Drosophila melanogaster: one gene and its partner. The gene in region 1 interacts genetically with each later gene. Each region holds a gene or a part of one and is shown in the gene's direction. Other genes may lie near its edges.

Region 1 (4,355 bases):
ATTGAAATGTTTAAATATAATTTCCAGGACTCAACTGGACCTACACTATCCTGGGAGTTTGGCAGCCGCTGTGATTACCTGACGCCCGAATCCCAGAATTGTGGTGAACGTTTTTGGACTGTGGATGTGACCGCTCAGGACTGGCAGTCAGGCATGATGCGTTTGCAGGCCTCGCCGCCAGAGGGTCTTTTCTACAGAAACTATTATACTGCTGGTAGCACAGAGCCCCTGAAGGCAACCTACATGGCCTCTTGCTGCGAACCAAAGGTATCACTCATCGCTTTCGATGCGGCCGGGAACCAGAGAAGCCTCACCATCGATGTCAGAGATGTGTATTTGAACGAGGCCGCCATTGCAGCCATTTGCCTTGGAGTCATTCTCCTGATCCTGCTTATTGCAGCCCTCATATGGAGCATTGTGTGGTGTTGCAGACGGAGGAAGACAACGCTGGAGCTGCCCACATATAGATCCCACTCCACTAGGAGCATGGAGTAGATTGTTGTTATGTTATTGTGCCAAGTTAGAACCTATGTGGTCTCGAAGTCTAATAAAATGCCATAGAAGTACCAGATATACAATATGGCACCGTTTTACTAAATGTATGCAAATATTTAGGATACAATTGTTTGTCCCTGCATAAACTACTGAAACGAAGTGCAACTTAAAAAAAGTAGTATAAACAATGTCGGTGATTTCAAACGATTAAATGGACTTAACTAATGTCTTATTTAGGAAAACTATTATAATATATCTATATATTTGTTCAGCTAGTAGTAGGTATACATATTTGTTTAAGCCAAAATAAGTGCTGACCTGACCCATTCCTCTATACACTGAAAGTAGTTTATATTAACTTGATCCGTGATAAAGTCAACCCCAGTTTATGAAGAGGGTAAGAAGGTCAAGTGCCTTGCCAGGCTTATCAGCTTATCATTATAGCAGCCGAGCAACAGGTGACCCCCACTCCGCGTTAGATTCACGAACGTACGGTGACCCACTTACCGCGATTCAAGATGCCAGCGATGAGGACGGGCGCCGCTGGAGGCGTGGCATGGACCACGGGCGGGGCGGCTGGCAGGAGCTGCGGCTTGTTGGGGAAGTCGTCGAAACTCAGGCCGGTCACGGAGGCGCTCAGAAGCGGATTTTTAACGACACGCGTCTGGTTTGCGTTGTTGTTTACGCGAGCGGACACGTCACCTTTCGATCTTTCCGACATATTAGCGGCCGATCTGGAGCTTTAAATTGGGCTAACTCGATATGAAGATGTGTGCCAAGTGCACAGTTGCCTTAGGAATTATTTTTATACACAGGATATTGACACCCACGACGGATTAAAAGCGTTAAACCCGAGAAAACTTCCAGGCAGGCAATATTCTGCTTCTTTCCGCGCATTGGCCATTCGCCATGGAAAGCTTTTACCAGGGCTGCAGCGGATCCAGAAATGGATAGGCAAAAGCTGGTAATCAAAATATGCTTATAACATATATATTCCTAGCTAGTTTTAACTGGGAAAGAGTATGAAATCTCCGTGACTACCATAAACAAATTTTCAAAAATCCAAATAAACAGCAAAAATAGCCAAATATTGCTTTTGCTGCAGCCCTAATTCTCGGATATTATTTCGAATTGCAATTTGGGAAGAAGAAGAGTGAAGTAGATAAATCTTGATGATTTCTGCAAATATTAGTTTTTAAATAAAATTAATGGATTTGTAGAAACTCTGACCGTATTAATCGAGTTTAGGACTACAAGTGCCGTAAGCCCCGTCATGCCACTGTTTTAAAACAAGTGGAAAACCTTAGGGTCAATTTTTTTTGGGGAGGAGACCACAACAAATAACACCCACCGAATTAACTACGATTACTCATCGCCGGAATGTCTGGAAATCCTTTCGACAGCGACGAAGATCAAAGCTCGGCCAGTGGAGAGATACTAGAGGGCTTCCTATGTCCCATTTGCCGTGCGGATCTCAAGTCCATCGATGTGCTCACGGATCATTTTGCCCGCCAGCATGCGGAAGAGGAGGATGCCCTAAAATCCTTTAAAGATATCTTTACCAAGGCGAAAAAGAAGATCCTAAACCCCTTTGAGGATGAAAAAGGTGCATCTGTATCGTCGCCCGCAGGTTCCTCCTCTTCAGCGGCTGGCAAGAATCCCAATGGCAACGGAGATCGCAATGGACCCAGTAATGCCCGCTCCCGTCTAAATGTATTTAACTATATGGCCAGGCAGCAGCCTGGTGCTGAGTGCTCCCACTTCGAGTACTTTCAGTCCATTCGCAATCCTCGCCTGGAGCGATATGCCAGCGAAACAAACAAACTAATCATTCGTTTGCACCGCCTGCTTAAGGATCTGCCAGCGGATTCAGTGCAGCGGCGTCAGCATGAACAGCAAACAGTTGCCTGGCTGGATGGTAGTTCCGTCAAGTTGTGTCCCAGTTGTGCCAAGAGTTTCCACATCGCCCGAAGACAACACCACTGCCGTTTGTGCGGAGGCATAATGTGCAATGATTGCTCCAAGTTCCTGCCCCTGGAAGATGCCAGTTTGTAGATCCAATAATTGAGGAAAATAATGTAACTTATTTGATTATAATCCCGCAGTGCAACTAGCCAGTCTTTCCACCACAAGAAGCGAGCCCCTTCAGCAGCTGCATCAGCATGAGAACGCCATCCGGCTGTGCGAACACTGCCTTTGGCTGCTGGACACCCGAAAGGATATGCACGAAAGTCGCACTTGTCGCCCACTCCTCGTCCAGGTCTACGAACAAATTCGTCAACTACAAAAAGAAGTTACCCCGGATCTGGACATGTATCTAAAGATCATCAATAGCTTGAACGAAGGGGACACAATCTTCACGTTGGCGGATGCAGGTGCTTTGCGCGGCAAGATTGGACAAGTGGCAGAGGCCATGGACATGAGGAGCAAGCGCATTCTAGCCATATTTTGTGAACCAGGCAGCCGGGAGGAGGCATTAAAGAAGGCCATTCGGTTGGGCTGCATCCAAGCCATCAAGGAGCGAATGTTATCGCTGCCCCCACTGCCAGAGGAATCGCACATACGCCAGATGCAGGAGCGTAGACGCATGGAAACGGAGCAGCGTATCCTCACCGAACAGCGCATGGCCATGGAAGCCTACGAACGAAATAACATGGCAGCTAACCAATCCAACGTTGGAGTTCCTGGTCCGGAAAGCGGATCCTTTGCCCAAGGGGTATGTAGACGAGGACTCTCTGCAAAGATCAATATGTAACCTCTGTGATTCCATTTGCTTCACAGTCTGATCTTCAATCTCTGAACAACTGGTCAGCACCGCAGGCGGCTAGCAAGTCCAGCCTGGACGATCCGCTGATCGAGCAGATAAACATCATTAAGGGCTACATCAAACAGGCTCGCCAGGACATGAACTTTGAGGTGGTGGAGACGCTGGAGCTAAATCTTCGCGAGCTACAGCGCGAAGTGTACGAGCGACAGCGCCAGTCCCAGGGAAGCACCGCCGCCTCACCCACAGAGGCCTAAGCAGTATCCTACATAGTTAAATGTATATTCATTCCCTCTATGACAAATTACATGGCTTACGTTACGTTACGAATTTGTGGTGTATATTGTGCGAAAAATTTTAGTTTGTGCGAAGTTTCTGTAAATCAAAGTTTGTGCGTTTGACGACAACTGAGACTATAAAATGCAACATCCTATTTCGATTGAGTCTATGACTTCAGGCCAACGGCAGCGATCAGTGCCTTGACCTTGGTAATGTAGGCGGCCTGGGCGTCGGTATTGCTCATTCCCTTGCGGTTGTTCCACGCCTCCCACTTGGCCTTGCCCTTGAAGTCCAGAAAGCCGGGCTTATCTGCATTGGATTAGAATTATCGATGGTGCAGCGGAGTGACGACTATGTCCGAGACCCACCTGTATTGCAATCCCCCACAGTGGCCTGTTTGTACAAGCTGTAGAGCTCCAAAAGGTCATTGTCCCCGGGTGTGGTGTTTAGGTTCTTAACATCTTCGGCCGCCTGGTTGAATTCCTGTTTAGGTTAAGTTTGAATAGGTAATCAGACTTTAAGATACGAATGCGTATTTGACGTAGATTCAGTTCACCTGCAATTCGGACATTTTTGTATCTATTTTTTAACTAGTGGAAGTCTTTGGAAAAGAAATTGCACGATTTTACTTCACCGAATCTATCGGCGTCTATCGATATCTGGTCTATACTTTTGTGTGACCAACAGTTTTTCAATTTAGAGTGGACAAGCTGTTGCGTTTTATTTCGCGGGTCTGGCAGCCTATACACTTAAAAGATTCGAAGTCTAATTTCATATTGAGAACTGAGATACATTATTACGATGATAGTTAGGAACA
Region 2 (5,891 bases), on another chromosome or scaffold:
CTGGAAATTAGTGATGGAGCTGCCGCCGAAAGGCGATCAGATTCAGTTGCCATTGGGGTGAACTTCTGGTTAATCGTGTGCAACGCAATCAGCATTCCTGAGATTTTCCGCCTGTCAGCAGATTAACAGGTGTCTCTCCGCCCCACCAAAGTGAGGCAATAGCTAAATTGTTCGCATAAATTGATTACAATAATTTGCCTATCCCCCAACATTTAGCCGCCCTCTGCGAAATGAATTCGCTGCTGGTAAAAATTCTAAGACAGCAGACAGAATAACAACAAGTTGCTCCGTCGGCTTCCATAATTTATGCAGAAATGCAGTCGAACCCAATGAAAAGTGTCGTTCACAAATCTAGGCGGTAAATTGCTTTTTGCGATTTCCAATGCACACCCACCACACGCAAATGCAAAAGTTGTCAATCAAAAATGGTCGTCAATCATGGTAGTAGTTGTTAGAAAGGAAGAGAGTAGGAAAATGTCTTTAAAAATATTAAACAAATTTATTTTTCAGTGGTTACTTCCTACAATTACGCTTATAGAAATACAAGGAAGGTTGCCAAATACCATAAATATATGTATAATTCCTTACCTTACAATCGAGTGACCACTGTAATTCTTAGCTGGGAGTAGAGAGAATGAGAGAGGGCCTGGAATGCAAATTACTATTATTACCGGACAATTGCCCTGTGCTGTGCGAGTGCATTCAAAATATTTGAAACACCACCCGAAAAGGGAAAATTGAATGGCAAGAAAAGCCGGCTGATTCATCCCACTCTAAATTATTGGGCTTACACATTCAGCAAATAAAAATGGGAGAAGGGTCGAGATTTATAAATTGGACCACATGTTCTCGCCCAGTTTTTCTACATACATATAGTATTGTATTGCTCGTCACGTCTCTGCAGCATCCTCTGCAATTAAGGCAAGGCTAGGGAAAATATACAGTCCAACATCTATAAGGAAGTACTTCCCTAAATTACAGATAGGTTGTAGTGGCACTAACTATTGCCCATTCTATATATATTACCCTTTGAACCCATCAACACCTTATTGAAAATTATTTTTTTATTATTCTGATCTGCTAGTTAAGTAAAATTTTTACTGATTTAATTTTTGTAATTTCTTGCTGGTACGCATTACTGATGTTTGACTGTATCCAACTTGCTTAAGCTAAGAAGCCATAATCCTCCTTCCGATTGTCTGTGCTTCTTCCGGGGTGCCGGAATCATCACGAGATGTAAGAAAGCCCCTGAGTCATCCATCAATCGCTGGACTAACCCTCAGAGCAAGTGCCTCCATTACCCTTCTCGGAGTTTCAGGTGCACTTGCTGTATGGATGGATAATCATCTCCTGGGGAATTGCTGCCAAGCAGCTCCATTTGCCGATTAGCCGACAGACCACCAGAGCACCACCGCACGTGGTAACGCTCGTCGGCACCATTTGAGTTATTCTGGAATTTATGTATATGCTACTTCGTAATTGCTTATCAAGCAGCTCTGCAGACCCACTGGCGTGCTGTTTTCTAATCTGGACCAAGAGAAAGGCCATTAAAACGAATGTCCAGCTGGAACGGAGTGCAAACTGCTTTGTGTAATGGTCGTCAAATGGCAATGCAGGTGGTAATTTCGTTTAATTGTTTTTACTGGCTACGTAGACTGCTTTGAATGTTAACCTAATGGTGGGCGAATGGGAACAAATTGATAAAAAAATTAAAGAAAATGAATATATATATATATATATAGGTTCTATATTAGGTTCTGAAAACAGTTTTTTATTTTTTCAAAATTTTTTGGTTGTACCACCCTAATGTATTTTCACAAATTCTGTTGATCTGGAAACATTATCTCTGCAAACTGCTCACCGTTACTTCTGTTGCGCCTGCTCTTTCGCCTTCCAGTACGAAAAGCACCGTAAGTCTCCAAAATGCAGATGAATGGAGAAGTGGACCGCGTTGGCGAGGGATCCAAGAATATTGGATCACTTTCCTCCAAGCGATGGCCGCAGTCACAAGTGAATTCCCCAGCAAACCGATCAGTTATACCAGCACCAATACTTCCGCCAAAACCTATTATCTTAAGTCCGTGAAAAAGCGGGTGACCACGTGTTTCCAGCAGTTGCGCGATAAACTCCAGTCATCCGGTTCCTTTCGCAAGAGTTCCTCCAGCTGCCTCAACCAGATCTTCGTAAGGTCCGATTTCTCCGCATGCGGCGAACGCTTTCGGAAGATCTTCAAATCGGCGCGAAAAACCGAATTGCCGGAGTTGTGGAAGGTGCCATTGGTGGCCCATGAACTCACCAGCCGGCAGAGCAGCCAGCAGTTGCAAGTCGTAGCCAGACTCTTCTCGTCCACTCAGATTTCCACCAAGGAAATCACCTACAACAGCAACAGCAACACCAGCGAGAACAACATGACCATCATCGAGAGCAACTATATATCCGTGCGCGAGGAATATCCCGATATAGATAGTGAGGTGCGCGCCATATTGCTGAGCCACGCCCAGAATGGAATCACGATATCGAGCATCAAGAGTGAGTAGCTTTATGTTTGAAAGCTTTCTTCTTTCCAGAAGTTTCGACTTCATCAAACACTTCAGAACTTTCTCTAAGTGGCTATATTTAGTTAGAAATCTAAAATGTATAAATTTTTAGTAGGTTATTAAATTTTATTTGGATTATATAACTTTTATAGTTTAGTATATTTATTTTAATTTATATTTTTTCTATGTTTCTTTTTTGTAAGATTACCCTTAAATAATTCTATAATTGAAATTCGCCAGGTGAATATCGAAAACTGACGGGCAATCCATTTCCACTGCACGACAACGTGACGGATTTCCTGCTGACCATTCCCAATGTGACCGCTGAGTGCAGCGAGTCCGGTAAGCGGATCTTCAACCTGAAAGCGAGCCTGAAGAACGGTCACCTCCTGGATATGGTGCTCAACCAGAAAGAGCGCACCAGCGACTACAGCAGCGGAGCTCCGTCCCTGGAGAACATACCACGAGCACCTCCACGCTACTGGAAGAATCCCTTCAAACGGAGGGCTCTGTCCCAGCTGAACACCAGCCCGAGGACCGTGCCCAAGATAACGGATGAAAAGACCAAGGATATCGCCACCAGGCCGGTTTCGCTGCATCAAATGGCCAATGAGGCAGCGGAGTCGAACTGGTGCTACCAGGATAATTGGAAGCATCTGTGAGTACTGAAAAGGTGTTTTGTAGACAGTGCAACTATAGCAAAAATAAACCTTTACTTAACAAAATGTACTAATCTTTCTACTGAACTCCTAGCAACAATTTCTACCAGCAAGCCAGCGTAAATGCGCCAAAAATGCCAGTACCCATCAACATCTACAGCCCCGATGCCCCAGAGGAACCAATCAATTTGGCTCCACCTGGGCATCAGCCAAGCTGCAGAACCCAAAGCCAGAAAACCGAACCGACTGAAAACCGCCATTTGGGCATCTTTGTGCATCCATTTAACGGCATGAACATAATGAAGAGACGCCACGAAATGACGCCCACGCCAACGATTTTAACCAGTGGAACCTACAACGATTCTCTGCTGACGATTAACTCGGATTACGATGCCTATCTGCTGGACTTTCCGCTTATGGGCGATGATTTTATGCTATATCTCGCCCGAATGGAGCTAAAATGCCGATTTAGGCGTCACGAACGCGTCCTGCAGTCAGGACTTTGTGTATCCGGACTGACGATCAATGGCGCCCGAAATCGTTTAAAAAGAGTCCAATTACCCGAGGGTACTCAGATCATCGTCAATATCGGATCGGTGGACATTATGCGCGGCAAGCCTTTGGTTCAGATCGAGCACGATTTTCGGCTACTGATCAAGGAGATGCACAATATGCGATTGGTGCCGATTCTAACAAATCTTGCACCGCTGGGCAACTATTGTCACGATAAGGTATTATGTGACAAAATCTACCGATTCAACAAGTTTATCCGAAGCGAATGCTGTCACCTAAAGGTCATCGACATACACTCCTGTCTAATCAACGAAAGGGGCGTGGTGCGATTTGATTGCTTTCAGGCGTAAGACTTTATACCATATACCATATCATATGAGTTTACGATTTGTGCCACTTTTCAGCTCACCACGCCAAGTCACCGGTTCCAAGGAACCCTATCTGTTCTGGAACAAAATCGGTCGGCAGCGCGTACTGCAAGTTATTGAAACGAGTCTGGAGTATTAAGTTGGGTTCTTAATCAAGATACATATATGCAAATTTTGACTGGGCTGGCACCGGAACCGACAAAATAAGAACTTTTTGATGATTTTACGATTTACGCTGATGGATCGCTGCTTTTACGGAATTCGCTTAGTTTTAATATGTTTTATATGTAGTATGTTCTCTGTCTTTGTTTATTTATATGTTCGTGCACTTGTCCTAGTCCATTATTGTATATTATTGTGTGTTTTGTGTTCTATGTTAGATTTAAACTTCTCAATTTTTCGCTGTCTGTGATTTGTTTTGCCAATGCCATTGATTTTCTGCACACTTTTTGCTGCTATCCCAAAAGCTGTGTAAAATAATCAAATGCAAAATAAGCGCAAGCAGCTGAAAACTTCTCTTCAAACTTTTCCGCTTTTCCCAAAACCATTTTGCTTTGAAATCTGTTTTTACCAAATCAGATTAAACTGCAAAATGGAACTTAAATGCAAATCATTGCAATGCTTATAAACTGTTTTTTGTTCTATATACTTTTGTGTGGGTCAAAATTCGGCATGCTCCTGTATCACACAACCTGCCACTTGCCCTTAAAAAGAAGGGCGCAGTGGGCGTGGTACGTATACATATGAGCCATGCTGCATTTTGGCCGTAATGAAAATGCACTGCTTTACTTGGAAAATTCGCTTGCACAAAATCAACGCCGCGGCTGATTTATTATTGATGTGCTCAAGCAAATTCAAGTGAAGCATTTGCGCGATTTTCGTCTTTCTGTTTCCGTTTGCAAAAAAGTTTATAAAATGCTTACACTCTGCTGCAGACACGCCAACCGGAAGTGCGCACTAAGCGCTTGTTTGTAGCACAGTGTAGAATTCTGGCGTAATTTACAGCTCTACTTTAAAGTCTTCTAGATAGCTATCTACTATTTATAAACTTATTTATTGTCTTGAATGTATGTTAATTGTATGTATTGATGGTGATCACGTTTTTTTTGTCCTATAACAAGCTGCAATGTAAAATCCAAAAAAAAAATGAAAAAATAAAATAAAAGGGAAATCAATGATTTTGTTTGCTCTAAGCTATGTTCAAAGTAACTGGGAACTAATCGAACTAATTTCGATTTAAAAGTGGTCTAGATTATATTGTGACATTTGTGAATATATTATTATATTTGCGAATTTATTATTATCATAAAAATAACGGTAGTTGAAAAATAATTTAGATGGCATGCAATATTAAAAGTTCCCGCCAAATTGGCTTGAATCTTTGCTAATATATTACAGTTTCCAACCTTGCATTAAGTTCACGATAGTTTTTCGGCATTTTCGATTGTAAAAGCATAAAAAAGTCCCTGCTATCGAAGCTCTACCACCTCCATCAGCAGGCGACGGCAAAAAAATCTTGAAATGTAAGCAGTAACGTCAAAATTCGCTTTCAAATCGTTAAACGTACGTTCTCATTCGATTTCAGAACAAAATGGCTTCATTCTTGGCACGAACTGGCGGCCCCCTGATCGAAACCGTTAGGCCAGCGGCCATAAAAAAGGTGAGTTCGCCAATTAGTAGTCATATTTGTGTGTAAAAAATGCGAAAATCCGTCGCTTTACATAATAAGGCGAAAAGAGAGAGTGAACACCTACGCTGTCCCCTTCTCTGTCTCTCACTTACTCACACATGTGAAATGCTGATCGTTTATCGGT

Evidence for each region.
Region 2: of Rbsn-5 (region 1) and osk, changing one enhances a phenotype caused by changing the other (phenotypic enhancement), as found in Drosophila melanogaster (one study listed by BioGRID).

What each region holds. Positions count from the first base shown.
Region 1 is NT_033779.5:8,158,217-8,162,571, forward strand, and holds Rbsn-5 (Rabenosyn-5), read left to right. Parts: upstream 1-1,615; 5' UTR 1,616-1,875; coding exon 1,876-2,542; intron 2,543-2,600; coding exon 2,601-3,211; intron 3,212-3,276; coding exon 3,277-3,516; 3' UTR 3,517-3,584; downstream 3,585-4,355. Other genes in the region: PAPLA1 (phosphatidic acid phospholipase A1), read right to left, coding at 1,003-1,216; CG43394 (uncharacterized protein), read left to right, coding at 28-495; Acbp1 (Acyl-CoA binding protein 1), read right to left, coding at 3,705-3,847, 3,907-4,021, 4,095-4,109.
Region 2 is NT_033777.3:8,933,152-8,939,042, forward strand, and holds osk (oskar), read left to right. Parts: upstream 1-1,974; 5' UTR 1,975-1,994; coding exon 1,995-2,529; intron 2,530-2,564; exon of another isoform or gene 2,565-2,648; intron 2,649-2,777; coding exon 2,778-3,195; intron 3,196-3,290; coding exon 3,291-4,055; intron 4,056-4,113; coding exon 4,114-4,216; 3' UTR 4,217-5,244; downstream 5,245-5,891. Other genes in the region: ScsbetaA (Succinyl-coenzyme A synthetase beta subunit, ADP-forming), read left to right, coding at 5,669-5,737. UniProt on the Drosophila melanogaster protein: Organizes the germ plasm and directs localization of the posterior determinant nanos. Oskar protein is required to keep nanos (nos) RNA and staufen protein at the posterior pole.